Linked DNA regions of Arabidopsis thaliana. The protein of the gene in region 3 interacts with the protein of the main gene of each other region in a biochemical or structural test. Each region holds a gene or a part of one and is shown on either strand. Other genes may lie near its edges. The genes, in order: PHOT1, PKS1 and NPH3.

Region 1 (12,694 bases), on a different chromosome or scaffold from region 3:
TGAAAAAGCATCAGGTCATAGGAGAGGCACAACGCGATACATGTCTCCGGAGCTTATACGACATGGGATTGTTGATTACGCTGTTGACACGTGGGCTTTCGGATGCACAGTTTTGGAAATGTTAACGGGACAACAAGTATGGGGAGAACATAGTGATCTCGGTTCTGTAGATTGGGACATTCTCATCGGTCAAAGCTGTTACATTCCTTATATACCGGATTGGTTATCTGAAGAAGCACAGCATTTTCTCAGCAGATGTTTAAAAAGGGACCCTGCTTCAAGGTGGGGGATTGGTGCACTCTTGAACCACCCCTTTTTGCAATGTGGATCTATAATTGTTTAGTAACGGTTTTGTTTATTAGTTTTAAGTTGTAAGATGAAGTATCCAACTCTCTATTTGGTATGTGTTTCTGGAAGTTTTGGTAAATGATAAGAGACTTTATAACTTTCATTATTAGTTTGCAATTGCAGTTTCAAGTTGTCATTGTTTCAATTCACAAACTAACCCACTTTTTGGGTCATAAGTTGTCACTGAATATTTATCACAAGATTAGCATATACAGCTCCTATAAGTAGTCACTGTTTCAATTCTACATCAAAATTCACCTATTAACTGACCAGTTTTCACACCCTTCCCTCTGACAGCTTGCATGTTTTGTATCTGTACATCGCTGGAATCTTGGAATAGAGATTGCTAGCTCCTTCTGACCCGCCCATAGTAGATGATACTTTATTCCCTCCTCAAGCATTATAGCTGAAGAAACCTATAAAAGAAAAGACTGAAACCATCACAAAAGAAAAAGAGCTCGAGAAACTAATTTAGACATGAAAAGCTCTCAGATTTGGCCAGCCATACATACTGAAAATGTCAAGAACAATCACAGAGCAGATCACTTGACGCAATGTGAATGAATCAAATGAGCATTTCTTACTAAGTAACACAATAACTACTAAAACACACACATAGGATGCAGCAGAAACGGTGTTGCTGTGAGTAATTAGTCCTCCACAAAGTTATAGTTTTCTGAAACACAAACAGAACAAGAACACTTAAAAGATTCAAAGAAACATGGATCTAATCTACTCTATCATAATCATTCTGGTTTGTACCCAATTCAAGCCTTAATTCTGATTTGAACTTTTTTTTTTATGGTTTCCATTGTCTTTTGTAGCCTTCAACTAAATTATGAAAAATATCAATTCTTTGTTTAACTTTACCAATTTAATCACATGAATTCGCATTATAATAACTTGATTAATGAAACAAACAAAAACATATGCAAAACTTGATTAATTTTATTGACATATATAAAAAACATATTCTTAAGAAACTCACACAAATTATTAGAAACACTTGGCATTATAAATAAATAAAGATAATGGTAAAATGAAAATAATTAAAAACGAGATTTTTGGAGAACAAAGAGTTTCAAACAATTCTTGAAAAGAAAACGATAAACGTTTAGTCCAAATCTCAAAAAACATTTGTTTGCAGATCTTCTAGCTCAGGATCAACAACTTTCTCTCCGTTTTCAGCTTCACCAGAAAATATCGGAGTCTCGAGCTCTGGAGGGTTCTGCATATCAAAATAATCTCATAAGATGATTAGTTTTCTTCTTTCACAAGTAAAACCGAAATGTTTCTTATATACCAAGTAAAGAGAATGTGTGAAGTTATACCGTGCATCGAATCAGAGCCCAATTTATGCCTTTGAAGAAAGAATGTTGCTTGACTTCATTTGCTCCTTCAAAACAACCTAGTCTTTTCTTCGGATCTCGTTGTAACAGCCTAAAAATCAGCTGTTTCACTTGAAGACTTGCCTGCAAACCAATAACAGAACAATTAAATATGATCCTCGATTTTTATGCATGAGATTAGTTTATAGAAATATAGTGATTGATCCATTACAGGAATGCTAGCTGGAAACTTGAGATCTTTTTGAAGAACATTGGTGAAAGTCTTCTGTCTTGTTTTTCCTCTAAAAGGAGTGTATCCGTATAACATTTCATACATAAGTATACCAAGAGCCCACCAGTCTACTGCACTCGTATGTCCTGCTCCGGATATAATTTCCTATCCATATGAGACATCAACTACTGGTTAAGACAATGGTAAATACCTTAATCACTGTACTTAAATTGGTATATATAATATACTAACCGGAGCAATGTACTCTTCAGTGCCAACAAATGAGTTTGATGCACGCATTGGTTCAGCCATGAAGATTGGAGTTTGTTGACTCTTTTGTTGCTTTTTCTTCTTCTTCTCGTCTATACTCGGAATCAACAGCTACAAGATTCATTAATCACCCTTAATTAGTATACATGAGCAAACTCTCTAGTAGAAGTGGAAACAATCTGAAGGGAAAGGTTGAGAGAAATCAAACCTGAGGTTTGCAAGATGTCAAGCAAGACAGATCAAAATCCGACAAAGAGATATCGCCATTGCCTTGGATTAAAACGTTTTCCGGTTTCAAGTCTCGGTAAATTATTCCTGAATTTAAGAAAAATTACAAAGATCAACTTAGTATCATGTCAAGATTCCTTGCATCCAAAATTTTCTTTGTAATTAAAGAAGAGGTTGAATGGATTGCCTTGACAGTGAAGATACTCGAGTGCAACGACAACTTGAGCAGCATAGAATCTGAAAGTTCATGCAGGGTTTTTGTTAGTTCAATATTTAAGTGAAGAAATCTTGAGACTTTTTCGAGCGAGGAACACTTGTACCTTACAGCATCTTCTTTGAGAACCTTCCTAGGTTGTCGATCTAGGAGCATGAAGAGTTCTCCTCCTGGATAGTAATCTGTTATAAGACATATATGTGTTTTTGTCTGCAGAATAAAACATGATCCATTAGTAACCAAAGACCAAAGAGACACGCATATATATATATATATATATATATATATATATATGTGTAAACAGAGGTTTTGACCTGAAAAGAAGCGTAGAGTGCAGGAAGAAAAGGATGGTCAAGCAAATCTAGGATCTCTCTCTCAGCTCTAGCTCTATGTACCTGCAAAAAATTATATCAGTGGCTACAAAACTTACAAATAAAAAGCGAAACTCAAGATTCCTTGAAGTGCAAGTTACTGTAATTACTTTGTTTCGGTTAAGCATAACAGCCTTGTCCATTGCTTTCATTGCAAACAACTGATCTGTTCCAACGAGTTCCACTAGATGCACACTGATAAAACACAAATGGGATATTATAAGATTAATGAAGGAAATGTTCTTTTTTTTTGTAAGCTATTTCATTAGATTAGATAGAGTTTCAGACCTTCCTGTGTCACCAGAACCCAAAGGTTTCACCGGTTTGAAATGCTTCAAACCAATCGGTTCACCACTTTCCAACACCTTTTGGATAGCTATCCATGGTGGTGAATCTTTCCTGTGAGGCTTACAATGAACAACCTTTGAGTGGTTTGCCCATAAATCCTCTGGTGTCTTCAGAAACAAGACACAATAAAACATTCTGTCAGATATATTCTAATAAACCTTAATCTAAAATGATCATATTCAGATCCTTAGACAATCACTTACCATGTTGGCATCAGGAAGTTCTCGAACCGCTTCATCGATATTCACAGCTGTTTTTTTCACCTAAAGAATATAGATTAAGGTTTAATACTTGATTTTCTATCAAACGAATACTAAATCAAGATCAATAGTTTAGGATTCCAGACCAGGTCTTCTCCCTCTTTCACTGCGGTTTCTTCAATGACATTGCGAACTGGTTCTACGTGCTTGCTCCCGTCTAGTTGAACTCCAATAAAGTATTGTACTTCTCCCTGTCAACAACATATCAAAGAAAGAATATAGACATCTTCAGTTTTAAATTCATAAACCAAAAGAAATTGAGGATTAGTTTGAAGGTGCCGTATAATGCAAGATATCTATGTAAACCATTATACCTTCTGATCACGCATAGGTTGCAAGTGGAAAATGTTCCAGAACTTCTTTCCTGCCACAGAGAATATAATGTAAATTTAAAACTTTATACAATGATCGACAGATTAATCTAAGAATATCGAAAAAATCGAGTACCGCTCTTGGTGTAGTTGATGAGCTGAACTGTCACTTCGGTTTGGTTATCAATAGCATTTCGAATCTTCTTCACTGTGGTTAGATCAGTCTCTGGACCTTGTAGAAACCTAAAACCATGAAACAAAATTTATAAACACATGCTCTATGCTCAAAAATATTTTCAAAAGACATTTTGAGATCACATTCATGTAATACCTGCAATTTCTTCCAAGAATTTCTTCACGGCTATATTCCGTGAGCTCCAAGAAACTATCAGATGCAAAAATCTAGAAACATAGGACAAAGCAAACAATACGTTTTCAGACCAATCGAAATGAAACATAACAAAAAAAGTTTCCATTTTTCTAAAACATTTGTTCTTACAATGGGATTATCGGGAAGCCTAGGATCAGTGATGACGAAATTCTTCTCGATACGTTCGAGTGTAGTAGCTAGATCAATACCCTTTCTCATTTCCTTTTGTCTCACTTTATCATCCACACTCTCAGGTCTCTCGTCCCTATCACTAATCTCATCGTCTTCTTCTCCATACTCTATAAATCCATCGTCTATAGATTCATCCAAAGATTCGCTCTTCTTCTTGATCCTATCACCAGAGTATCACAACAATCATATCAAAGACTAAATCGATTTTTATAAAGTAATTGTCAGGTAAACAAATGATCTAGTAAGGATTATTACCCCATGAAGGAAAGGGAAGATTTTCTAGATTTTTTCTCGGGAATTTCGTTGATTCGCTGCATCGAGTTTCTTCTTCCGCCGCCAGAGTTTCTTCGGCCTGACGGAACAACATTTTCGGACATTCGCCGAGCTGGTTTTTTCGGAAGTTCATCGCTCTCCGATTTTGTCATGAAGGGATGGAGATTCGTCGATTCGCTTAGTGCCCGAGGTCTCTTCACCGCCTCTACTAGCTCTGTCACTGAGTTTGTCGCCATATCTTTTTGGCGGGCTTTTACAAAACAAAATTTGAAAATATTTTTAAGAAAACATAATAAATGGAAAAAAATTTGGAAAAACAAATAGAAAAAGAAAGTATGTAAATACCATCGTATCGAATCAGAGATTCCGGAAGCCCATTGGGCCTCAAAGCCTTTTCTTTGGCCCCTTCAGTGTGCTTGCTCACCTCCACTTGCATTCTGGTCCAAATAAACAAAACATATTGGTATCTTCTGATTTTTCCTCAAAATCATATTTTTTTATCAGATTCTATAATTCTTTTCTTTTTCCTGATTGATTATTCTCTTTTGTTATTCTACAATAGGATCCGTCGGTGATACAAATCTTTGAATTATTGCGGAGAAAGCAACACAAATCACAGGTCCACACTTAGACCCATTAAAAAGGGTGACATTTTGAATGAAAGAAATAAAGGAGAGAAACGAGTAAATAAAAAGGAATAAGGGACTAACCCGATAAATTTGAGGACTTTGCCACTCTCGTCTTTAATGGGAGCAATCGTGAGAAGATTCCAAAAAGAGGTCCCATCTTTCTTGTAATTCAATATACGCCCACAATAATTGTTACCAGCAGCTAATGTCTCTCTTATCTTTGCTAACTCATCTGCATCTGTACCTGATCCTTGTAAAAATCGGCTACAATAAAACAAAAACCCAAATTATGTTCTTTTCTTCTTTCTTTTTGTAAATAAAATTCATTCATTGAACAAAAAATGGTGGAAACTTTTGTAAGAAATTTTTCGAATTTGCAAAGAAATGTTCGATTTAAAAGAAATATTTTAAGTTATCATTAAAAAATAAACTTAGTTTATAAAAGGCTATTAGTTTGGAAAAACAACATAAAAATTAGGTTTATAAAAAGTTTTTAGAAATTTAGTAAGAGTTACTAAATCATTTAGGATAACCATACCTAAAACTTAATCTTTGTAATTTTGGTACACAGTTTCGAAAAGTTCTAAAAAAATAAAATAAAGTTAGGTTTAATTTTTGAAAATTTAGAAAGAATTACTAAGTCATTTAAGATATCTTTATACATTTATAGTAACCATAAACCTAAAAACAAAACTATGATATTTAATTAGAAAAAACTTTGCAATTTTGGTAATTATTACAGAAAACGAAACGTATTTTATATATTAAAAAAATGCTCTAAAATTTTTTGAATAACTTTTTACCAGTTTCTGCCGACGACTTCTTTGGAAGTGTAACCAGTCATATTGAAGAAACCAGCACTTGCATACATAATCGGATAATCAGGTTTTGTAGCATCTGAGACCACAAACGTTTGTTGAAACGTCGACAACGCATCTTTTAGATCTTCCGATACTCTTGGAATCCCACTCCTCCCGCCGGGAACATCTCCGTCCGACATCTCACCGGAGCTCCGGCAAGAGTTTTGCGAGTTTCTCTGCGATGTAGTCTTTTTCCCGTTAGGATCATTCTCAGTTCCACCAGAGTTCCTCACGCCTACTCCTTGTGGCTTTCCCGTCTTTGTATCGGTCTTCAAAACCAATCCCCACTCTGCCGCTCTCTGCTCAGCCGCCACCGCCGACTTCTGTGGTTTCTCGGCGGTGATCGTCTTCTTGGAGATTGTCTCCGGTGATGGGTCTTTCAGAGCCATCCATGAGGTCGTGACAGCGATTTCTTGATCAGACCGAACAGGGTTGGATGGAGCTGGTTCTTGTTGTGGTCGGGGTTGAGGACTGGTGCCACGTGGATCACTCAAGTTTTGCCACGCTGGTGGTTCAGGACGGAACACCGGGTTATCGGGTCGGGTCAGCTGAGTTGACGGGTTGAATACTTCGAGAGAGCCACGAGTGTCTCTAGGTAGAGTCCGAGAAGATGGTTTGGTCGATGGTTTTTCTGTTGGTTCCATCTTTGAGCTCTCTCTATACACGAAACAAAAATTGTGGCCAGAAAATAAGTTTATATATAATTAGTTTAATGGATAGACATAGATACCACACGCATGTGTGTGTATATGAATCGGCAAATAAAAATATTTATTCTCTTAAAGTTAGATACTATAAATATATGGTATAATATTTTATTGATTTCTAAAAATGGACACATGACCAAGTTCTTTTGTGGTAGATGGATGGTTTGATTACTGAAAATGAAAACACTATACAAATATGTGATATGTGAACTAATTAATAACGGTTAGATATGTCATATGTTTAGTCATAAACAGAATGGGTTTGACCATAAAAAAAGAAGGAGAAATAGAAAGGAAAGTTGATTAAAGTTTGAAATATCAGTACAATATATGGAAATGGTAGTATTACTTATATTTTTTTTTGTCATTTAACTTCTTCAAGTAGTATGGTACATATTGGAGTTAACCTCTTTTCATAAAATTAAAAATAACTAACTTGCATTAAATATTTATTAATAAGAGATTATGTCTACAATTTTATACAAAAAAATATAATATTCTAAACAGACAATGTGGTGGTCCATTTCTACACGGATCGAGAGAAATCCACTCTATATCACTTTGGTGCATTTCTACTAAGGCTGACTGGATATGTCGATATGATTTTACTAGATGCTGACCATAAATAATTCATCAATCACTCATTTTTTTTGAATCTTCAAAAATGTTATCATGAATAACAAGAATCTTGCTCTCTTAGGTGTCTTTCTTTTGGGAAATAATAGACTAGACATATCTAACATGATAATGAATACATGTTTTATATGAATGTATATGCATGCAGGTAACATTATTAAATATGGTTCAAAGAGTTATGGTTTATGGGGCCATAGATGAATGAAGATATGAACTGGAAAATACGCCAATTTTGAGAGTGACAATTCCAAATGAAGCGGGGGTAAAATTGAGAAAACGACACAAAGGTGTAAAGTTTCAATGCTTTTTTGAGTTTTTAGTACCACACAACACATGCATCTTCTAAGGGTGGTTTAGTCATTTTGGTATAAAAATGGACAGTTGTTCTATTACAAAAACAGTAGCTGAACCGATTCTGTTCGATCGATCACAGATTTCAACTAAAAATCTTTGTCTTTTTTTCATGTTCTTGTCATTTTATCAATTTCCACATAAATGAACTTTGTAAAATAGTTTATCACTCTATTTATATGAGAACAAATAAAAAGAGTAAAAAATTTCATGGTAAATAGGAAAATCTATTTTTATTTAAAAAAATTGAAATACATATCTTTATGAATTATGATTGGAGAAATTTTAAATCGAATTCAGTTGAGTTCTTGAAATATGCAACTACCATGTGATGTGTGACTTTCACAAAAAAAAGCTGACATTCAAATAATTTATATATATACTAGTTTCAGATCAAGCTAGTAGCTAGAGTGCTAGACGATATAAAATGATATCTACTTCACTATTTATATTTTTACACATACAAATTAAGGCCGAAAATGTGACAAGAACCCTAAAAAGATGAATAACATACAAATTAAAAAAATGAATCGTCCTAAAAATAGCCTAAGAAAGTGAGCAAGACAGTATAAATCGAAGGGAGAAAACTACCTTGCAAGTTAACTTGTGCTGGAAGAAACAGATTATCCTTCGATTTTTCCTTCACTCTCTAGTCGAGAGATAAACTGAGGAATGAGTTTGGGATGAGAAGTTAACTTTCCCGAGGCTTTTTATACAAATAAGGAAATTTTTTGATAAGAAGAGATTCTAGAAAGATTAAAAAACTATTTAGGTTTCATGATTGATTTAGTTCCGTTCTAGCTCCATCACTGGATTATTTGATCTTCCCATGCTTCGAATGTTTTTGATTCCACATGGCTTCTTTTGTTTACTTTCAAAAGATTGTATAGAAACGTAACACTAGTATCGTTTATCTATCTTCTGTATAACTCTGTCTTGATAATTAGATTATAAACCTGAATATACTCTCTTTGTCAAACAAAACCAGACCAAACATAAATATATATTCTGACTATGCTCAATATTCAATTTCTATGGCACTTATTGGAAACGAATGGTTTATATGACTTAACCAACAATTTTATGATGTTGGTTTGACAGTGATTAATCTAGGTTTTGGTATAGGACAAACAGGATTATAAAAGAGAATATTGCACAAAAAAACTTGCTTGTTGTAACTTGTGCGTATAATTGAAGTAAATGATAAATAAAACATTTGAAGAACACATAAGTGTGTGGAGTGATGGTTGTTCTTTTAAAAGTTTCTGTGTGTGTCAGTGACTATAAGTGGGAGTGAGTTGTCATTTGAAAACGCCAAAACCGTTCCCAAATGCAAATGCAGAGACCCAATATTACATAGATGTTCTCTTTCCACTTTTGTAATGGTAGAAATCTCAGTCTTTATGCATTGCAAGATATTTCATGCAAAAACATTAAAGAAGAACATACACTTTTATCCGATTTAGTGATGAAATCGAACATGGAGATCGGTACAGAAATCACAAACAAATTAAAAAGCAATCACATGTCATTGTTATATGCATTTTTGGTTGATTTATCAAAACTTTCTCTCGCTTTTTTTTTGTCAAAACTTTCTCTCTTTAAAATGGTTTTATTAATTCTGTCTCTATTTTGTTTTCCAAAAATCACTCTAATTATTAATTAGCAGATAACTTCCCTATACATTACGATGCATAAACAAAATATATTGCAAGAATATATAGCAGTTGTTAACCCAATCGATTTGGTATGCTATCAAATCATGGGCACAAATACAACCTTAAACTTTGGATAAAAAAATAAAAATCCAACCTTAAACAACCATGCATTTGATCATTTGCATATTCTAAAAAGCAATGTGTAACTAGTTTAACGGTGTAACAAATATAGACTAGCAATGGCATAGCGCCGATACGTCTCAGATTGAATAACTAAATATTTTTTAATTGCATGTAAATATTGTTAAAAAAAAAAACAGTATCATCATTTGTAAAATTTGGTATTAATATAATGACCCCACTACACTCAAATTCAGTAACATTTTTTTCTCTTAAAAGTTATATTATGATCCCGGTAACAAAAATGGATCTGCCACTACAGACTGGTCATCCCAAGCGATCACGATCACTATCAGGCTTGGTTAAAAATATCAGAACAGTTCAGATTCAAACCCTTTTGTCGGAAACCCTATGGACAAAATTTGTGAAGGGTATAATACAAAGAGGAGAGTATGGTAACATTTCATATACAAGTAGGACCAGAACCCATGTGAAGATTGATCAAAGAGAAAAAAAGATCTTAACGGGTTATAATCTTATCCATCATGTGTCCATTGTGGGTTTGAGTGTGTGGTGGGGGCTGAAAATGTTACATCAATCTTCACATATTGGCCGCTTAACTTCTCCCATTTTCTAAATTGACCCCTTTTTCTTCCCTAGACAAATCAAGATTCAAGATGGGACAATGACACTGGTTAGTTTACATCAATCTTCACATATTGGCCGCTTAAATTCTCCCATTTTCTAAATTAACCCCTAGACAAATCAAGATTCAAGATGGGATAATGACACTGGTTAGTAGTTACTATATGCAAGAATATCTACATTAGGAAAATTTAATATTTTCTAATTACCATTGTTTTTCTATCGTCATATATATTGTTTTGGTAAAATATACGATGTTGGTCTACTGATAGTACAAGTAGGAATGTTTACATTAACACAAATTGTTTTGTTTTCTCTCTCCCTTAAATATCATTGATTCTAAAAAAAAAAGCATTGTTGAGGTAAGTTCATTTACTAAAAAACCCTACCATAAAAAAGTTCATTTACTAAAGGACACAAATAAAAAGGAGATACGTTGAAGCTTTGAAATACTGATGTGGTATTTTACGAGACTTTTCTAATGCTCAAGGTATTATTTTGGACCACATGATCTGGTCGAAAACTAATAAGAATCGGAATACGAAAAATAACTTGCATCACTTATTTATCTTTTATAACTAAGGGGTAACCCATATTTTTACCACCAGACTAATACATCTAAGATAAGTGTAGGTGTTGAGTAGTCCACTCACTTGATTTTCTAATGGATCTAAAGCATGACACAATTTTGATTGTTCAAATATAATGGAGTAATTTAGTAACTTGTATCATGACTCTATAGGAAGAAATTAGAGAAAGAAATCCACGACGAACTTTTAATATCCAATGATTAATCTGAATCGATAAGAGATATATGTATGTTTGTTAAAAATAATAAAGAACCAACTTAGAGTTGACCCAATGATAAATCTCTTAGGTGGAGGTGTTGGATTCGACACAAGTTGGGAGAAATTTCTTATGAATTTAACATTATTTGCGAATGGTTTATGCCGGTTCGGCTTGGTTCACACTTGGTTTATTTTTCTGAGAATATACTCTATTAGATGCTGATAATTGTATAGTTACGGATAGCTTTTAGATCTTCTCAACTGTAGGGATTTTCCTAGATTCACGACGTCTGTTGTATAGTCGATCTATATATGTTGTATGCTTCTCTTGATGATCAATAACACATATACATTGTCGAACTCTGTATTCCTTTATGGTATCAGAGCCTGAAAAGCAAAACTCTTGATTTTTTTTTTCTCGACAATGTCAACTGAAAGCAACACCTCCGCTGCGACTGAAGTAAGGAGAACAATCTCTCCTTATGACCTGACTTCTGCTGATAATCCTGGAGCCGTAATCTCTCATCCTCTCTTGAAGGGAAGCAACTATGAAGAGTGGGCTTGTGGTTTTCGAACCACGTTGATATCACGGAAAAAGTATGGATTTCTCGATGGTTCAATTTCCAAACCAGAAGAGACTTCCCCTGATTTTGAAGACTGGACGACGATTCAAGCTCTTCTTGTGTCATGGATCAAAATGACAATTGAACCAACTCTTCGATCCACCATTTCTCATAGAGATGTGGCTCAAGATCTGTGGGAAACATCTGAAAAAGAGGTTCTCTGTCATGAATGGGTCACGACTACAACAACTGAAATCTGAGCTAGCTTGCTGCAAACAGAGAGGTTTGGCTATTGAATCTTACTTTGGCAAGTTGACTAGGATCTGGGATAACCTCGCCACACATCGTCCGTTGCGTGTTTGTCGTTGTGGTAAGTGTACCTGCAATCTTGGTGCTGCTCAAGAGGCAGATCGGGAGGAAGACAAGACTCATGAATTTCTCAATGGTTTTGATGAGCAGTTTCGGGCGGTCCGATCAACTCTAGTGGCTCGGACTCCCATTCAACCACTTGAAGAGGTGTACAACATCATTCGTCAGGAAGAGGACTTGCGTGTTCCCGTAGAAGAGTCACCGTCAATGACAGCTTTTGCGGTGCAATCCAAACCACGTCTTCCAACTGACGAAAAGGAGAAAAGTTTCTTCTGCAAACTGTGTAATCGATCTGGTCACACTGCAGAGCGGTGCTATGCTGTCATCGGGTATCCAGAGTGGTGGGGTGATAGACCCAAGGGTCGTACTCTACAAGGGAAGGGACGTGGTGGCAGTACGTCTCGTGGTGGCAGGGGACGCGGAGCCTCCCAAGAGGTTGCTAATCGGGTTTATGTGCCGAATGTGGAAAACGTGACAACTGAACAAGCTAATCATGTTCTCACAGACGACGACCGATCTGGAGCTCATGGACTGAATGATACCCAGTGGAAAATGATAAAATCAATTCTCAATGCGGGAAAACAACCTTCAACTGAACAACAAACGAGTATGTCTTCTCTCTC
Region 2 (9,650 bases), on a different chromosome or scaffold from region 3:
TTTAGAAATTTCTCACAGAACCTTCTCTGAAGCTGGCCTCTTGGTGATCTCAGCCACCCACTCGTTGACACGTGGACGCTCCGTGAAGAGCTTCTTGGTGGGAGTTCCGAGCAGGTATTGAATCACGGGAATGTGGTGAAGATCGGTCAAAGTGAAAGTTTCACCAGCCAAATACTTGAACTCCTTCAGCCTAGCCTCGTAGACATCAAGGACCTTGGCTAACTTAGCTTCTTCTTCTGCAACAACGGCTTGGTCTGTGTTCAAGCCATAGTTGAACTTGAATACTTGTTCCCAAGCAAGCTTTGAAGCCACGGGATCGAACTGATGAGCTTCTACTTGTATTCCAATGGACATGATTGCATACTGAGCTATGTTCTTGGAGTCAGCTGGGAGAAGGTTGGTTCCTTGGTTTTCGTATCGGTGAGCTATGTACTGAGTAATCGCTCTTGATTCGAAGAGCTTGAGGTCTCCATCTTCAAAGGCTGGAACTTGACCAAAAGGCTGAAGATAGGAAAGAAGTTCAAACACAAAAAACATTTAAGATTCCGATCAGTTACGTACATCAAAAAAGTTTGGTCTCTTGTCTTACAAAACAACACATAGATAGATAAATATACTTACGTTGCGGGAGAGGAAAGGCTCCTTCTTGTGCTCACCGTCTTTGAGTTCAACATGAACGAGCTCAAAGTCGAGGTTTTTCTCATGGAGGGCGATGAGGACTCTCCTGGTGGAAGTGGAAGCTGGGTGTCCGAAAACTTTGATACCTGCCATTGATTTGGTAACTAAGAAACTCTTTGAAGACCGAGAAAAAGAGATAAAAGAGAAAGAGATGTGATGTTTGATGTTGAAGGTGAAGGTGATGAAATAACACACAAGTAAAATAGTGATGGTATTTTTTGTTTTGATCAAAAGTAGTGATAGTATTTATACAGAAGCATTTCTGCTTTATCCCTCACTGTTTATAGTAATATTATCTAACAGATAATAACGCCTCTACAAGACCGTCGCAACCAATATTGACTAGTCTTCTTCTTGGTGGATTTTTCAAAGCTAAATTGGATTGATTAACGTTTGAATATTTGTTTTTACACTGGTTATGAGATAAAGTTTTTAATAAAGCATTCAATGAATCAGAGAAAAAAATTAAACAAGTCGTAGTAGTAACGGCCAAATGACTCAAACTTCCACCTACTAGCTTCATCTAGTAACTTTCTCCCTTTTGTGATGACGGTTTTAAAGCTTTCTCTTGATGTGAAATTCGCATCTTAACCAAACTAGAAAGGTATGCAGTTTATTCTTTTTAGTCAGATCTATTGAATTGGTTCAGACCGGATCAATTCGGATTATGCTGATCAAGATTAAAACATTTGGTTAAGATAACCGAACCTAATTCAATAATGTCCAAATTGTTCTTTTGTCCGAAGGCTAAGAAAATGTTTTGGTATTGTCCCACATCGCTAAATAATTAATCGCTCACTCTTGGAGTTGGTGTATATAAAAGAAGCTTGATGGACTAAACCATTCATACCTTTCTCGGCCTTTTGGCTAAGATCAAGTGTAGTATCTGTTCTTATCAGTTTAATATCTGATATGTGGGCCATCGGCCCACACGATATTAACTCTATTTTTTAAGGGAGAAAGCCCGTTAAGATAGCTTGCTATCTGGGCTTTCACGAGTCGCCCATGCGTTGCACTACTGCATGGGCCTGGCTCAACCCGCCAATTTGAAAGCCCAATATTGTTCTTTGTTTCATATTTTTATTTAATCATTGTTAAATACTTACTTTGCGTCGATACTTATCATTAACCACTCTTTAGGTGCCACGTGTGGAATATGTCCCTCCTCAATCAAATTCAAAGGTGAAATTTTTACACGGCGCCGTCTCCTTGATCTCGCCGTGGACCGTCGTCATTGATCACAATTTAGTGATTCTCTTGGAGCGGTTTTAGATGATGAATTGATTTGCTTTTGTTATGTTTATGTGGCGCTTGTTCGTTTTGTGTTTAGGAAAGAGACACAAAGAAGAGGCTTTTTTTTTTTTTTTTTTTTTCCAAAGAAGAGACTTTGTTTTCGATGTTTTGAATGTTGATTTATGGGCACATTGCCACATTCCTGTTGATTTCATTGAATTGGATACTTTAGAGAGACAGAGATTTCAGACGAAACTGGACTACTTACGACATCTAAACAATGGGTTCTTCAAAAAAGAGTGTAGAGTTTATGATCTTCTTGAAATAACTGGTAATGGTTTCACTCGGGGCAATTGAACATTAAACGTTACTTGGTAATCAGAGGCAGAGCACTGTGATTGTTATCTTTGTGAAAATCGAGTGATCTTTCCTTTAAAGGTTTATTTTTCTCATGTTATGATACACTTAGGGGTGCTTTAAAAAGATTTGATTTTCTTTATGTTGGCATATGATCATTATTTCCTTCTCTCTGTGGAAGATATTAGGAACTGACACATAGCTAGAGACAGTCAAGAATCCTAGTTTTGATGTACTGTTACCACTTTGTTGTCAGATAATATAAGATTGTTATTTCTATAATCATCATCTGTTCCTGAACCTATGTTTGGGGTTTTTTTGTATTCTTTTGGTAACATGAAGTAATGGAGATGCAGCAAACGACCACACAAGACTCTTCTCCTTCTCTTGGTGGGCTCCTGAGGAACGAACCCCTTTCACATCAAGACAGTGAATGTTTCACCACAAACTCTATGGAATTAAATAGAAACTTCTCTCAGCCATTTTTTGTCATGTGGGATCAGAGTCTCATCTCATTACCAACTTGCCTTTATTCACTTGACGAAAGAGAGCAAGCGGATGCTTTGAGGCAATGTCCAACCAAAGAATTCAAAGATGAGTAATCTTGTTTTGCTTTCTTAACACAAAATGTCTTCTTGCTTTTGTTGTTCTTCTCTCATCCACATATGAAAACTAAGTAGTTAGATGATTAGATTTTTATATATAGTGTGGTCAATTATTTTCTCATATCTTTTGAGAAGGGTACAATACTTATCTTCAAGATCTGTATGTTTCTTGGTTTTAAGCCCATACTAGCTATACTAGCTTTGATGTCATCATCTTGGTTTCATTTATGTCTTTTCTTGAAATCTAATTAGCCCTTTTTGAAATATCTTACAGAGAAATATCAGTGAACTGGATAAGATCATTTGGGGTAAATTCGATCATTTCCCTTATGAGTAGGCTACAGAGACAAACATCTTTGATCTTTCTTTGCATTTATTGTCTTAGTAAGGCACTTTGGTTCTTTTCTCTCATATTGTCAACTAGCAATTAAGGTTTTGTCTACCTTACTTTTATTTCAGACATATACATGGCCTTTAGATGAGTTTCAGGACCAGATCTTAGATATGTTAGGTAATATGACACTTTCATTGATTTAAGTTTCCTCATTAATAGCTCTTTCTGTCAATCTAGTGTACGTTTGATTTAACCCTTTCAAGCTAAGACAAAACTCATATCTCTCTCTCTTGAGTCTTGAGACTAAATCCAAAAAAGGTAAAACTTGGTGGAGCCAATTTTTGGAATGTCTCTCTGCTTATTTTGCTGAATTTGAGATCTGTGTTTTTAACTGACCATAATGTTTTGTTTTCACTCTCCAATCATTTGTCACTCTTTGAGTAACTTTTTCTTAGGTGCAAAAGGTCTCTAAGAAACCCTTTTAAATTGATTTGATCATGGACTCAACAAGACATTATTATAAGTTTACATATCTTTCTCACTCAGTAGAAATTATAGATAAAGAGAGATCAGAGATTGAAATCTTTTTCTTTTACTTTCTTGCAATCACTGACTATAAAGAAGAGATGATTGTGTGTGAGAAATCGAGCTGTTGCTGATCCTTCTTCGTGTTTCGAAACTCTTAGGTTTAGTAGTCTCCATTGGGAATCTAGGAACGTAACTCGGTTGTGTCTTGTTCATGCTGCTTCTTCTGTCTAAATCACCAGAAACCATAACAGATTTATGACTCTTGCAGCTCATCAAGAAACCATTCCCTCCGCTGCTGCTACTCGATTTCCGTCTCTGCGGTGCTGATTTAGCGGTAATAGGGATTCGAGGAATCTGAGTAGGTCGGTTTCTTCTTACAGGACTTGTTGCACATTCTGACATAACAGAGAAATCTGCTGCACTTGCTGTCACTATGCTCCACTCTACGCTTACTTCACTTGGCGCATAACACGTAGGTGAAGCTGGATCACTTCCTTGCCTCGTAAGAAAAGGTTTAGGGTTCCCTGTAAGACCCTCTATCTCGAAAAGATCCGAGCTTGAATCACTCCCTTCACTCTTTGTGTCGTCCTCCTCTGTTCTCGATTTCCATGGAGGCAATGGTAGTTTCTTCTGAACAACACTACTCTTCTTCTCAATAGCCACTGGAGATCCAAAAACTTCAAGAGACTTCCTCTGTGATAACTCCTCTTGCTTCTGAATCTTGATCAGTTCTGTGTTCATATCCGCAGAAGATCTCATTGTGATAACAGAGATATTCGGATCAGCGCTTCTCTTGACCGAGGTTTTCTCCTCGACATCTACAGAATCCCCATCAGAGCATGCGCATTTACACCCCAAATTTGCGAGAAAACTCTTCTTATTATTGGTCACCTTTTGAATCTGACCATTACTGTTCTTCTTTTCCTTGAAGGAACTGTTGCAGCTATTCACCAGTTTGTTCTGAAGCAACACGCTCTGACTATTCCAGCTTGATTCAGACCGGACACTCGGAGTACCAGTAGATTTCTTCGCGCTCTGCTTCGAGTCGACGACGGTTCTCTCAACTTCTGGGTTTGTCAGAGACAGAACACTAGAACCTTGGTCTGAATCCATGTCTCCATTGAAGTACTTCTCAGCTCCAAACACACCAATCTCTGGATCTTCAGGAGCTTTCTTCACCATTTTCTTCTCATCACCAAACTCCTCTTGTTTTGGATTAATGCTCATGTTTAGTGTTTTGCTTGGTTCCATGAGCTTCTTGGTCGTGACAAGAGCATCTTCCTTGCTGCTCAAGTAAGAAGAAGAAGAAACATAGAGACTGCTGTGACTGTTGTTATTCTTCATGAAATCAAAAGATGTTTTTGGGGTACTAGCAGAAGATGGTGTTAGTGTCACCATTTTCTCTTTGGTAGCTTTATATTTTTTTCTCTCTTTATTGCTTGTGTGTAGATATGTGGAATTAGGGTATAAATAGAGTAACAAGACGATATGTTTGATAGCTGTTTTTTTTTTTTTTTCTGAAGCTAAAAGTGTTATGATCTGATCAATGTGAGTGGGTTCCAGTTTGAGTCATTGGCCAGTTGTTGTGTGTGTGAACTGATTTATTTATATATTTGGATAATGAATCTTTGCCAATCAATGGAGAATAATCGAAAAATAATGTTACCCCCGTGACCACAAAAGAAAGGAATTATAATGATATGGTCTTAATTCGATTAGGACTTATTAATACAACAGTACTAGTATACTACTCACATTGCAACTGGATCTCTTAAATAATTTTCTAACCTGCAGATTTCAGAAAGTGTTTTTTTTTATACGTTCAATATTCGTATTTTGTACGTAGACGTTTAGCACTACTATACGTTTTTAAGATTCCGATTTAAAACACATTTGCTACTATATTTGTAGCAACTAAAACCAACTCCAACCGTAGTTTTTTAGTAGAAACTCATACAATTACAAAAAAAAATTATAAATTAAAAAAGAGATGAGAGAGAATCTCTAAAATTGGGAGGATCGTTTCTATTATTCATATAGGTTGTTTTTTTTTGTTTTTTGGATATAAAAATAAAATATTAATACTTTTTGTTTTTTTAGAAACTATATGAATCCTATACATTGGAGGTGCTCTAATGTACAATCCGTTCGGACACGTTAATTACAGATGGGGGTGTATGGCTATATACTTCACATTCATACGATTGTTGAACCTTGTGAGATAATTGAGATGATTAGCTTTAGCAAGAAGAGATGATTTTGTTGGATTGTGTGCAGGTTTAAAACAATCTGATTTGCATTGAGGACTCTCTGTTATAAACCAACATTTTTTTATTATTCTTAAAGGACTCTCTGTTATAAACCAACATTTTTTTATTATTCTTAAAGGACTCTCTTAATTACTTAAACTAAAATTTTGATTAGCATTGTATGTTAAAATAAAATAATACATTGGATAAATAAATTAAACAAAAACATACATTGGATAAACTTATTAACCATCATACAATTAACAAATTAATGACATCGTCAATAAGATCGGAAGATAAATGATTGGATTTTACCAATGGTGTCAAAGAGTTTTACATGAGAAAAAAAGTAGATTTAATGTATTGTTTTTCTTAATTACTTCAAATTAAAGTATTGTTTCACATACTTAATAATGGGCTGACAAGTTTTCGGACACACATTTTCAAAGACATGTTAGGATTGAGCTGACAAGTGAATCTGGATTTACTTGTATTTTAACTTCTAACTTTTTTCAACTAGAAAAGTAGTGGATATGGATTTCACTTGAGGAACAAAAATACAAAAATAGAAACTTAGAAAGCACGAGGGATGTACGTATTTTGTTGCATGGGGAGATATTGACAAAGACCATCGAGTTGGGTTTTGTTAAATATAGTAATATTTTATGTTATGATTTGACGTACGCTCTATAATTTATGTGTAATGTATATTAGAAAATTCATGGAATCGTATCTTGTCATATAATACATATCAAATAATGTGTATTGTTTTTGTTAAATATAACATAACGAAAGATTAATTAATTCAAACATAAAATCTATGTATCTGTCAATCAAGAATATTGTGTAATGTAGTTAATAAAATATGCTTATTAGTTGCTATAGTCGACGTATCACGTATGAATGGTTCGAATTGATCCCACAGCATACGTGTTTGTTTCTCAACCACAACCTTTATTCGTCCAACTAAAACAAAAATGATCATTATGAGATTTACCACAAACCACAAGCATGACTACAAATATCAAAACTAATAAAAATTGATTATATACCAAAACGGTATCACCAATTTATGATGTACTACGTATACTTTCTAGTACCGTTATCTGATTTTTAATTATCATTATATAGGATTTTTTTTTAAATGTCTCTTTTACAATATTTATATAAAATCATATTGTAATTTACAAAAGCTGAGGTGATTGGTAATCCTAAAGGCTTCCATATGCATATAAAATCATAATTTACAAAATTCTTAGATATCTCGAGAGTTTTGAAGATTGCAAACCGGAATGTGTTCCAAAAAGTTGTAATCAAGCGGCAATTAAAAAACTCTAATTAACTTAACTTTAACTATTTTTGATATTGTTCAAAGTTATGGATTTAAGGATTGATAATTTCGGTTTGAGTCAACTCTCCCAGTAAACAAATGCTAGCAATATAGGGGCGTTTCAAGTTGCAGAAAAACACACTAATTGTCTCTAAAGTCTACAGCCAGAAACACAATCTGATAGGTCCCAAAAGCAACAAACACACACAAAATCCCTTTTTAATGGTAGTTTAAACTACCTATTTGTTTTGATTTTCTGATCAATATATGGAAACAAATGAACGATGGAAATGGAATCAATCATGATTCTTACAACTTAGGGGAGACGGAGAGATGGTGAATTGCATAAACAACTAAAAGAAAAGCACTCATTCAAAATCAACGTGAACCAACTCAACCTTCATGTCCGCGTTATCCCTTTTGGTCTCACAATCTATTCCATGTTATGCCCATTATTGTCTATGGATAATGTTTGGCATATACCAGTGAAATTTGTTGGACGAAATGGTTTAACATCCCGTATATTGACAAAGAGGTCGTGGGTTCGGAACCTTTGTTTTGCAAAAAAATACGTTTTCTTAAATTTAAGTATAAAATTCATATAAAAATACGGTTTAGGTATGAAAAATGCCCTATAAATTTATTTGGGTATGCAAATGCACTCAGAATGGGTATTAACTCTTTTCACCAGTCGAGAGACTAGAGATAGAACAAAATAGAACAATAAAACAATTTAGGGGCTTTTTTGCAAATATCAAAACCCCTCCTAATTTAACTCTTCCGCCGCCAAATGCTAAACCCCCAAAGGCCAAAGCTTCTCCTCCTCCTTCACTTCCTCTTCGTCTACATCAATCTGATTTGAGGGATCATCTCCTGACGAAGTTTAGGGTTTAGGGTTTCATTTATCCCTCCCAAAGTTTCTTTCTAGTCTCTTCAATTACGATGATCTGCACGGAGTGCGAAAACGACGCCTTTGACGAAGAAGACGACGGATATTACTACTGCCAACGATGCGGTGTTCAGGTTGAAAATCTGATCCAAACCGGCGTCGACGACGGCGATTTAATCGGTGAAGGTGGAGGTACTCAGGGCGCTCTGTATAACCCCAAACATCGCCGGACTGAACCACAACCAATCACTCCTTCACAGCCTCGTTTTACAGATGACACAAGCCGTTACTCTCAGTTTAAATCTCAGTTTGAATCTGAAAACGGGAATAAGGAATTGCCCCGGGAAGTGAAGAGAGCGCCTGACAGTTATGTCGATAAAGAGCCAACGGAGCCTGTGGATTTTGCAGCAGAGACTTTGAGTTATGAGAATTATTACGATGAAGCAAGAGATAGATATGTTAAAGCTTTTCTTATGATGATCACTTATCAGTGTGATGCTTTGGTTGACAAGTTTAATGTCACTCCTTTGATTATTGGTTTGGTTGGACCTATCTCTTTGCGTTATGTGGCTCTCTCTGGCGTCTACCATAAAGATTGGGCCAATAACGCCATTCGTGATTCCGAGCATCAGTCAGAAGATGGTAGAAATCTATTGACAATGTTGTCTTGTTTGGTGTGATTCTATTTGTTACTAAGTTTCACTCTTTTTGGTGTCTTGCATTGCAGGTGAAGTAAAAGATGCTAAGAGGCTTAAAAGACACAAAGCTGAGCCGCGTAACATAGATGGTAAAAGAGCAGTGACGATATGGTTTGGTATACTTAAAAAGACTATGCCTTTATCGAGTTCTTTGGTGATATCTTTCCTTGCTTGTCACCAAGCGGGAGCGCCTGTTCTACCCACGGATATTGTGAGATGGGCACGAGAAGGAAAGCTTCCGTATTTGTCTTGTTTTCTCGATATTAGAGAGCAAATGGGAGAGCGATCAGCTGCGTGTCCGGTGAAAGTAAGTATAATGGCTAGGCCTTTTCAGGTTATTTCTGCTCAGATGTTGGAAGCACGAGCCTCTGTGATTGCTGATACTATTGGTTTGCCTTTGCCTCCTGTGAATTTCTATGGTATAGCTTCAAACTATATAAAGCAGTTATCTATTCCTGAGGACAAGATTCTTGATCTGGCGCGTCTTATACAGAACTGGTCATTGCCTCCTGAGTTATATTTATCGACGAATGAGCAGAAGCTTCCTAGCCGTGTGTGTGTCATGTCTATTCTGATTGTAGCTATTCGGATGCTTTATAACATAAATGGTTTGGGTGTGTGGGAACGGAGTTTGGGGTTTGTCAATGCTAGTGACGGTGATTCAGAGACAAATTCAGGTACTGCAGAGAAAGCAACTGAATTCGATACTCAGGAGCTTCTGAAGAACCTTGAAGCTAAATATCATGAGG
Region 3 (10,097 bases):
TTTAGAAAATAATTAAGGATATAATAAAGCTCGACCACACTTTCACTAACTTAGCTTTTAAAATAAATAAGAGAAAACGTATGAACTTTTACTTTAACGAATTAAGTATATATTAAAAAATTATATTGGTTAGAAAAATATTATTTAATGATAAAGTATAACCTGAAATTATGGACCGTGAGACTTTGTCATCATATATACCATAATTACGTATATACACGTTCGGCCCCCTTGTCCCATTTCTTTCAAGCAAAGCACAAATATAAACATTGCCACCGTTTTTAATTACTAGATTAATTTCCAAGTTACACATATTTTTCCTCTAAATAATTAAAAATTCAAATTGTACAACTTAAATTATGTTACCTTTTGCGTATCTTAGTTTTTTTCTTTTAAAAAAATATAGAATGAAAATTAATTTCGATATATAGAACAAACAAAAAACCGAAAAAATTGAGAATGTGAATTGGTAAAATAAAGTAATGAAAAGGGCAAAAGCGTCATAAAATCTTTTTATAAAGCCTTGTTACTCTTGTTGCCACTCACCTCTTTAGAAATATTTCGTAAAAAAAAATTCTCCGTTTAGACATTATTGTTCGTTGGTCACTTTCATCTCTCTTATCCCTTTGCTTTTCCATTGATTCAGCTCAAAAAAAAACAAAAAAGTCTCATCGTTTTCTCTGGATCTGACCGAAAGATCATTCCTTTCTAAGGTAATCAAAATCCAATTTTTCTCTCTTATAGTCTGTGTCACTGTTCTCTCTGTTTGTGTATCTGGAGACTGTGGTTAAAAACGGTTTGAGTCGTTTGTGAAATGGTAAAGTTCTGTAATTTATGTCTGAATCTAGCTTAGAACATTGTGATTTGTGTATATTCTGAGTTGTAATAGTAAAATGTAGCGTAATTTTGCTGGAATTGATGCTGTGAATACACCCACTTGCTAGACGTTTATAAATCTATGTCCTTTACTGTTTTTGATCTCTGGATTTAGCTCATTTTTGGTGCTGATGAGATTCTTCCTTCGACTTTTTGCACAGATACTAAAGTAGGTTTGAGTGATCAGAATCAATTAGAGTGTGTATAAGAGGAAGAGAAAGAGAAAACAGCATGTGTATTGCCGTATACCGTAAAGTTTTGAGCTTGAATCTGTATTGCCGTGTGATACTGTAGATTGTTTCACCTTTGAAGCAACACCTTCAAGAGTCAAATCCTTTTCTTTCTTATTCATCTTCCCTTCTTTTTCGGTATATTATAAACACTTTTGAAAATGGGATCACAACATTTCTATGTGTACCATTGTGAACAAAGAATCAGCTAGACTAAAAGCTCACTCTCCTTCCACAAACAAAACTTTCCTCCTTTTGGTTTTGGTATCTGTCTACTTTCTTCAATCAAGATTTCCTCAAAGTTATGGTGTGCCAATCACCTGGTAAGACAAGATTTCGAGGATTGAAGTACGAGACCGGAAACGCTAACGAATCAACAATTGTAGTGAGAGTTATTGAATGCTATCAACCGATGGATAATTGCCAGGTTTGTACCAGACAATAATGCTCTTGTTATCATACTTTTAGCTTATATAGTTCTAGTCTTCTAACACTGTGGTTTTGTGATTATTCTTTGTGTTTCAGGCTGAGTACTTCAGACTTCTACTCAAACCAGTCACGTAGTTGGTTGGTGACATTTCGCTGCATTTTTCAATCTGTGATTGTTTTTCGTTCGTCTTTCTTTTACTATTTTCTCGAAAAGGACACAAGAAGTATTGCATTCACTCAGTTGAGCAACTTAACAATCGGTATGCTCTTTTCCCTCTAATTACGCTTGTGATATTACTGACTTTATCTTTCTTGAGCTGATTTTTGCCTCTGTTTTGTCCTGCAGTGTTGTACTTTTTGAAGTTCCCTTGAGCTAAACTGCTAAGAGCATGCCTCTGGATAAGAGGCAACGGGATTTGCCTCTGGGCTTAAGTCCTCAAGCTTGCTTCAAGGATATAGTAGGTCGGTCTGTCCTTCCTAGAATTCCTCTCCCTGAGCTTGGGAAACTATATGCAGCTAAGCTTCAGGCTCGCTGTTTGCAGCCACCACCATTCCAGTCTTTGCTGTGCAGTCATGATAAGGAGTCTTATGGAAAAAGATTCTCACGGTCTGACATGCGGTCTTGGTGCGCTGCTGCTACTACTACTACTACTCCACTTGGAGCATTAGAGTCTTCTCAGAAAAGACTTTTGATATTCGATCAGTCAGGAGACCAGACTCGTCTATTACAATGTCCATTTCCTCTACGGTTTCCATCTCATGCGGCTGCAGAACCAGTGAAACTCTCTGAGTTACAAGGTATAGAGAAAGCTTTCAAAGAAGATGGTGAAGAGTTTCACAAGAGTGATGGAACAGAGTCAGAAATGCATGAAGACACTGAGGAGATCAATGCATTGCTATATTCAGATGATGATTATGATGATGATTGCGAGAGTGATGATGAAGTAATGAGCACTGGTCACTCTCCTTATCCAAATGAAGGAGTTTGCAACAAAAGGGAATTAGAAGAAATCGATGGTCCTTGTAAAAGGCAGAAACTACTGGATAAGGTCAACAACATCAGCGACTTATCATCACTTGTGGGCACTGAGAGCTCCACACAACTCAATGGATCTTCCTTTCTTAAGGACAAAAAGCTCCCTGAATCAAAAACCATATCGACCAAAGAGGACACTGGTTCTGGTCTGAGCAACGAGCAGTCGAAGAAAGACAAGATCCGCACAGCTCTGAAAATACTCGAGAGCGTAGTCCCTGGTGCAAAAGGAAACGAAGCGCTCTTACTTCTGGACGAAGCAATTGATTACCTAAAGTTGCTGAAACGAGACTTAATCTCCACAGAGGTTAAGAACCAAAGCTCCACCACTCACAAGTCACCAATCTTGTTGCTTAAAGAGACAACATGGGGAACAAGAAATCTGCAGACAGATAAGGCGTGAAAGATTCTGACGAGTTAAAACGTGTGAAGTGGGTTTTTGGGTACGTATCCTCTGCACCAGCTTTTTAGCTGTATATAGTGGACTACTTTTAAGTATTATATATGCTACTGCAAATTTCAAAAAGTTAAAGAAGAAAAGAGGTCACTTTCTTCTTCTCTCTGTGTGGAATGAAAAGCCAAAGTCGTCATGGTCATTGATGGACAATGATTATCTTTTTTGGCTGAGTGTGGATGGTGAAATCAAAAGGCAAATATTCAAAGTCTCATCTCAAGCTCGCGTGATCTATGAATCTCCCCTAAGGTAATAAAATATCTCTGACCCACACACACTCTTTTGTCCATATGATGACTAGATGGGTCCATGATTTTTATGAAATATTGATGTCATGTTCATGTAATTAATTTGAGTGTCTGTAATAATGCAAACTATTCCTTTGTCTTTTGCTTCAACCCACATGCTACTGGTATTGTTGTGTCTCTATTGTTGTATTGTTAAATGGTTTTGTAATAAACAAATGGCGTTTTTTGGTTTGTGATAAAAATCGAATCGTTTATGTCACTTATTCCATATTAGAAACCAATAAACATTACAAATTAGGAACAAACAAAAGCTTTTTCTTTTCAAAGAATCAAAATCAAGAAGATACAAAACCATCACTATCACTTCATGAAATTGAGTTCCTCCATCGTCTTGGTTTCCTGGGGGGTGGATGATCAACACCAGCTTGTTCTCCTCCAGAGGATATGTCATGGCTCTCCTGTCCACTCATCTTAGTCAGTTTACTTAGCTTCTTCCAACCGCTGGTCCAAGCCGAAGAAGATGGCGTGTTCTTCACTTTCCCCGTCTTCTCAAACTGTCGTTGCATCACTTCCATCTCGTTCTGAAGCTCGACGTACTTGGTCTTCACCGTCTCTAACTCGAACTTCAACGTGTTAATATCCTTCTTGGCTGCAGCCCATCCTTCCTGCATTCAAAGTAGAGGAATTAGAAAAAAGGAATTTGTGTGAATTTTGATGAGTGTTTTCTCTTACTTGCCTGAAACGATTGTGGTGTTGCTTCGATCAATGTCTTGCGATTTGGGATCATAGGCTGATACGTACCCATGGCTTCTCCTAAAGTGGTTGACTCCTTGAGTGATGTGTTGGCTAAAGCATTGCTGATCTTGACTTGCTCCGAGAAGAGAACTTGAACCACCACTCTCAATGGCAACCTCTCGTTCTGAGCCGCGTGCATACATGCGTCCATTGATAGTTTTTGACAATCCATCACTCGGCATAGCCGTTTCCTCTCATGCTCCGATAATGTCGGATGCGCCTATCACAACAAAATTAAGCCAAAAAAATGTTGAAAACTATTCTACGAATTTACCAAAAAGACCTTCAATATATATATACCTTGAGATATGAATCAATGGCTCTGTATAGTCCATCGTCACAAGTCCTAGCAGATTCCGGTAACGCCTCAGCCAAAACCTGAAACTTTGTCAACGGCAAATTCCGATCTCTAGCAACTTCGGTGAGATAACTATCCACAAGCCTCGCCACTCTCATTTTCGCATTCTGATTATTACCACCACCACCACCACCATTGTTGTTATTCCCTCTCGGGATATCGGCGTACATAGACTGCGACGGCGACGGCGACATTCGACTCGGACTCGATCCTTCCGTCTGTTCTTGCACAAGAAAATGTTCCAACAATCTCTGAACAAGATCAACATCGTACATTGTCTCTCCTTTATTGTTATAACCAGGAATCAAAAGATCTTGAAGCGTCGCTTGTTCGAATTGCATCCCTACGCGTTTCTCGAGCTCCGTGATCAACGCCGGAGCTACTTTGAGCATGTTTGCTGCTCTAAGAAGACGGAGGAGGAAGCTACAAGTGACGGAATCTTTCTGTGGAGGGATTATGCTGATTAAAGATTCGACGATCATTCGTTGGTCTTTTGGACTGATTCCTAGTCCGGCGAGACAAGCGACGGAATCTTGATGTCCGTTTGTTTTTCCGGCGGAGAGAACCATATGAAGACCGCCTTTCCAATCTGGTCCGGAGCTTCCTCCGCTGCTGTTGCTTCCGCAGCTTATACTCATTTCGTCTCCTCCTAAACCTAATCCTCCTCCAATGGCGGAGGACATTGCTGGAGCTATTGCAACTCCTCCTTCTTTGATCAAACCCGGAAGCCATTTTCCGGCGTAATGCATTATTACAGCTCCGAGTAGTTCAAATCTCATACCTTTCACCTGTTTCAATGGATAGAGGATTGAGATATGTACACCAAGTGTTTGTGAAAATGCTTGAGAGAAAAATAACCTATGTGTAGTAGTACCTTGATTGCAGTGATTACACGAACGAAATGATCGATTCTTAAGATGGAGACATCTTCGAACCACCAATCTGGAGGAACAGGCTGGCTATTAGTGTTCCTACTCGGACTACAATAGAAACTTGAATCTTTTGATTCGTTCCATCTCGGACTAGAACCCGCGAAATTTGTTGTTGATGGAGATGGAGCTTTCCCTGTGTAAGCCCATCTAATACCTTTTGGATTACTACAAGCTTTCCAAGCGATAGATTCACTACACCTTCTCACAATCTGAAGATTCTCAGCCCAAGGTGAGAGCTTTTCACAGCTCTTCAGGACCAAGATGGAGTCTCTCCATGAAGACAGAACCACATAGCTGAGAAAAGCTTCTGTCTTGAAGATTAGATTCCCTTCCTCAAGATCCTCTGTCATCTCAAGATACTCAGCTGCACAACGTAATCCTGATATGTTAGTTGCCGTGAGATCCACGGGAACTCCATAGCAGAATTTGGATGCAAGCTCAAACGCTTCTGGTCCTCCAGGTAGATCATCAAGAATAAGGATCGTCGGGTCAGGATCTCGTGACTCATAGATCAATCTGTTCATCTTCCCGCTACGTGACAGCAACGGATACTGAAAGGAAAGAAACACTTTTAAATCCATAAACTTTCTCTAGTTCCAGCTTAAAAATATTGACTCAAGAATATGAAGTTACCTTGTGAAGGTGAAAGTTCATGTCGCCGATCTTAACCAGAAGATCGCTGGGGATATCCGTAGCAACAAACCTAATCATAGGCAAAGGTTTTTGATATGAGTATTAACTTCCTTAACAAGGAAACATGTTCTTTTTGCAGAGACTGTAGAGAAAGTGTGAGGATATTACCAAGATTGGCCTCTAAGCTCAAACCCATCAGTCTTGACGCCGCCATGCTTGTTAGAACTCAAAACTCCATCACCATACTCTCTTCCTCCTCCACCTCCAACTCCAACCCCACCGTCGCTCTCAGATTCCCACATCATACACAAGTTAACACTCTCTGTAGTTGGAAGCAAGAAAGGACCAAGGGAAGATATATAGAGGATGAGAAGATCAAAGTGAAACAAAGAGTTTCCAAGAGAAGAGAGATTGATTAGTTTTGATTATAAAGATGAAAGAGAGAGTGGCAAAGAGAGAGAGAAGAGAGAGGGAGATATTATCCCCACATGGGATGCTTCGAGAATTGGAGCTTTCTCTGAATTGTCTATTTTCTCAGAGAGATTTTCAAAACCAAAGTCTCTCATATATCTAACAGCCTGTGATGTAATGGGCTTAAAACTCTCTGCTTCTTCAATTATCATAATTTTTTTGAAATTTAGTGATATAAATTTTGCCCATTCTTATCATATAATTCAATCTGTCTTTTTTAGATTTTACATTAAACATTATTAGTTTACTGACATTGTAGTATGTTTTTTAGTGAAGATATGAGTTGGTTAAGTAGAGAAAAAAATAAAATATATATATAAGATTTGGGGAGGGACAAGTTGGAGAGTGAGTGTCATTAACTATGACAAAGCCTCGTTCCTTCTTCTTTGCCTGTCTGTTTTTTGATAAAATGTTGAATCATCTCTATGTACATTGCATTTAACTTTCTTTTGGTATCTTTGCTTTCTTTTCCTCTTTGAGGCTTCTCTTATATGGGTCCATTTCCCTAACTTCTCTTCTCAATCTTGCATATCTTTTCTCTTACTTTCTTTCATATTATTCCTCTTTCTTTCCCCCAATTCATAAATGTTTCCAATGTGATTAGTTCTATACCAATTATAGAAACCTTGAGTTACTGTTACATCTAAATGAGTTCTCTATAAATACTGAAATGTGAAAGTGATTACTTTCAAAAGCACTAACCACCTACGGGTTACAAAAAGTAGATTAAAGTCATACTATCAATTTTGAGAAGTTATGACATTAGATATTATTTCAAGAGATAAACATATGATGTTGTAGAAATTGTATTCACAATAGTTTTCAATGGTTGTTGGTTGATGACAAAGATAATAGAAGGAAAAGTTAGAGGAAATTTAAAAGAGAGCATTAAAAACAAAGGTTGTTCATACATACATAAATGGAGATCGAGATAGAAGAAGTGGTCCATAAGAATGTCAGCTATGTACATTAATACACACGATGGTTATATATGTATTAGTCGTAATCTTCTCTTTGCTACTATATATAGACCATGCATTTCTCCAAGTAACTTTTGATTAGAATGGTAATTTCCTACGACAACAACAAAAAATAGGTTATGGAATTCTCCAAGTAACTTAGGATTCTATGCAAAGTATTTGCAGAACCAGCTTGTATTCATGTGTTAAATCTAACTAGTGTTACTACAAGAAAACCATCAAACGTTTACGATGAAAATATTAAATTGTGAATTCATATGGTACAACAATATTAGTCACTTTCAATTTTAATTTTTTTCAGTAATTAGATTAGAATGATAACACTTTTTTGTACAACTAATCCTCTTTAGTTATGTTTTCATGTTATAAAGTGTTTCAATCACATAGTAGATAGTACTATAGAAACATTTCCATATGATAAAATGATTGATGGTCATATTCAATAACCAATCCAATCACCACGTTAAAACTCTTACCCCCACATATACAATGCCATAATAATTATATAATGGCCACATCTTGATTGGATTGTTGTTACAAGGGGTTAAAACACTTGAGATCAATATCTTTTTTCTTTTAAATACACAAAGTAATAATCATGTGATCTTTTTATGGCTTACATTATTGATGATGGTCGTGGTAATACAAATGCCACGTCGCCTTCATATGTTAAAAGCTAATATAAAATTGTCGGTTCAAATCAGACAGGATATACTCATCCGACGGCTGAAGGAAAACGTTATAATAAATCTAACGGCCAGGATCAACTCAAGGTTACTTCTCTTGTTTTTGTTTGGGCTCAGAAGGGGCCCAAAATAAAAACAAAGAAAACAGGGCCCAAAATAAAAAGAATAAAACATATTCGAGCCCTCTAACTTATAAGGTTTCAGAGACCAGAAGGGTAAATTGGTAATTACCGATGTTCTAAAGTTCTTCTCGCTCGTAGGAACCAGAGAGATTCTGTCTGATTAATGTGGGGTTTATGGTTATGCTAGCGAGATCAAAGCTAGCTCTAGATGTGAGCAGAAGATCACAGTCTTTGCAAAGAATCTGCTACTACGCAAGTCTCTCCTCTAGATTTTCCGGCGGCGGCGGAGATGATGGCGGCGGCAGCTCACCGGAAATCGGTGGTACCGATTCAGCAAACGAATGGGAGAAGCTCCTTAAACCATTCGATCTGGATTCTCTAAGGAATTCATTTCACAAGATAACTCCCTTTCAGCTCTATAAGCTACTTGAGTTACCTCTCAATGTATCCACTTCAATGGAGTTGTTCTCATGGACCGGTTCTCAAAACGGTTATCGTCACTCCTTCGATGTGTATCAAGTTCTTATAGGTAAGCTTGGTGCGAATGGTGAGTTTAAAACCATTGATAGATTGTTAATTCAGATGAAAGATGAAGGAATCGTTTTTAAAGAATCTCTTTTCATTTCGATTATGAGAGATTACGACAAAGCTGGTTTTCCTGGACAGACAACGAGATTGATGTTGGAGATGAGGAATGTCTATTCCTGTGAACCCACTTTTAAATCTTACAATGTTGTCTTGGAGATTTTGGTTTCTGGTAATTGTCATAAAGTTGCAGCTAATGTGTTCTACGATATGCTTAGCCGAAAGATTCCTCCAACGCTTTTCACATTTGGTGTTGTGATGAAAGCTTTTTGTGCTGTTAATGAGATAGATTCGGCTCTGTCTCTGCTTAGGGACATGACGAAACATGGATGTGTCCCAAACTCTGTTATTTACCAGACTCTTATACATTCGTTATCGAAGTGTAATAGAGTGAACGAAGCGCTTCAGCTTTTAGAGGAGATGTTTCTGATGGGATGTGTTCCTGATGCTGAGACTTTCAACGATGTTATCCTTGGTCTCTGTAAGTTTGATCGGATTAACGAAGCTGCTAAAATGGTGAACCGGATGCTGATTAGAGGGTTTGCTCCTGATGATATAACTTATGGTTATTTGATGAATGGTCTATGTAAGATAGGCCGGGTTGATGCTGCAAAAGATCTTTTTTACAGAATTCCGAAGCCGGAAATTGTGATCTTCAATACTCTTATTCACGGGTTTGTGACTCACGGAAGACTTGATGATGCTAAAGCTGTTTTATCAGATATGGTCACGTCTTATGGCATTGTTCCTGATGTCTGCACATATAACTCACTGATCTATGGATATTGGAAGGAGGGTCTTGTAGGTTTAGCTCTGGAAGTTCTTCATGACATGAGGAATAAGGGATGTAAGCCTAACGTCTACTCTTATACTATTTTAGTTGATGGTTTCTGTAAATTAGGAAAGATAGATGAAGCCTACAATGTTCTTAATGAAATGTCTGCCGATGGACTGAAACCCAACACTGTTGGTTTTAACTGTTTGATATCGGCTTTCTGCAAGGAACACAGAATCCCCGAGGCCGTAGAGATTTTCAGAGAGATGCCGAGAAAAGGCTGTAAACCCGATGTGTATACATTTAATTCGCTGATATCTGGACTATGTGAGGTCGACGAAATAAAGCATGCCTTGTGGTTACTTAGAGATATGATATCAGAAGGTGTTGTTGCTAATACTGTTACTTACAACACGCTGATCAACGCGTTTCTTAGAAGAGGTGAAATCAAAGAAGCTCGTAAACTAGTAAACGAGATGGTTTTCCAGGG

Evidence for each region.
Region 1: the proteins of NPH3 (region 3) and PHOT1 form a complex in vitro, tested with the Arabidopsis thaliana proteins (one study listed by BioGRID).
Region 2: the proteins of NPH3 (region 3) and PKS1 form a complex in vitro, tested with the Arabidopsis thaliana proteins (one study listed by BioGRID).

Annotation. Positions count from the first base shown.
Region 1 is NC_003074.8:16,812,741-16,825,434, reverse strand, and holds PHOT1 (phototropin 1), read right to left. Parts: upstream 8,715-12,694; 5' UTR 8,520-8,714; intron 7,089-8,519; exon of another isoform or gene 6,892-7,088; 5' UTR 6,879-6,891; coding exon 6,178-6,878; intron 5,639-6,177; coding exon 5,456-5,638; intron 5,183-5,455; coding exon 5,091-5,182; intron 4,996-5,090; coding exon 4,728-4,995; intron 4,633-4,727; coding exon 4,410-4,632; intron 4,313-4,409; coding exon 4,242-4,312; intron 4,154-4,241; coding exon 4,047-4,153; intron 3,964-4,046; coding exon 3,914-3,963; intron 3,791-3,913; coding exon 3,686-3,790; intron 3,603-3,685; coding exon 3,543-3,602; intron 3,447-3,542; coding exon 3,280-3,446; intron 3,187-3,279; coding exon 3,102-3,186; intron 3,016-3,101; coding exon 2,935-3,015; intron 2,831-2,934; coding exon 2,727-2,830; intron 2,644-2,726; coding exon 2,594-2,643; intron 2,494-2,593; coding exon 2,387-2,493; intron 2,290-2,386; coding exon 2,161-2,289; intron 2,074-2,160; coding exon 1,909-2,073; and 6 more. Other genes in the region: AT3G45790 (Protein kinase superfamily protein), read left to right, coding at 1-282, 370-430. UniProt on the Arabidopsis thaliana protein: Protein kinase that acts as a blue light (BL) photoreceptor in a signal-transduction pathway for photo-induced movements.
Region 2 is NC_003071.7:851,336-860,985, forward strand, and holds PKS1 (phytochrome kinase substrate 1), read right to left. Parts: upstream 5,391-9,650; 5' UTR 5,134-5,390; coding exon 3,814-5,133; 3' UTR 2,742-3,813; downstream 1-2,741. Other genes in the region: GSTF3 (glutathione S-transferase F3), read right to left, coding at 13-501, 622-771; MEE12 (maternal effect embryo arrest 12), read left to right, coding at 8,257-8,845, 8,931-9,650. UniProt on the Arabidopsis thaliana protein: May be responsible for light-regulated cytoplasmic sequestration of phytochromes or may be a negative regulator of phytochrome B signaling. Component of the network that modulates the very low-fluence response (VLFR) branch of phyA signaling.
Region 3 is NC_003076.8:25,723,764-25,733,860, reverse strand, and holds NPH3 (Phototropic-responsive NPH3 family protein), read right to left. Parts: upstream 6,736-10,097; 5' UTR 6,294-6,735; coding exon 6,157-6,293; intron 6,059-6,156; coding exon 5,989-6,058; exon of another isoform or gene 5,937-5,988; coding exon of another isoform or gene 5,907-5,936; coding exon 5,298-5,906; intron 5,212-5,297; coding exon 4,366-5,211; intron 4,286-4,365; coding exon 4,007-4,285; coding exon of another isoform or gene 3,956-4,006; intron 3,936-3,955; coding exon 3,636-3,935; 3' UTR 3,503-3,635; downstream 1-3,502. Other genes in the region: transcription factor SAC51, read left to right, coding at 1,925-2,971; AT5G64320 (Pentatricopeptide repeat (PPR) superfamily protein), read left to right, coding at 8,422-10,097. UniProt on the Arabidopsis thaliana protein: May act as a substrate-specific adapter of an E3 ubiquitin-protein ligase complex (CUL3-RBX1-BTB) which mediates the ubiquitination and subsequent proteasomal degradation of target proteins.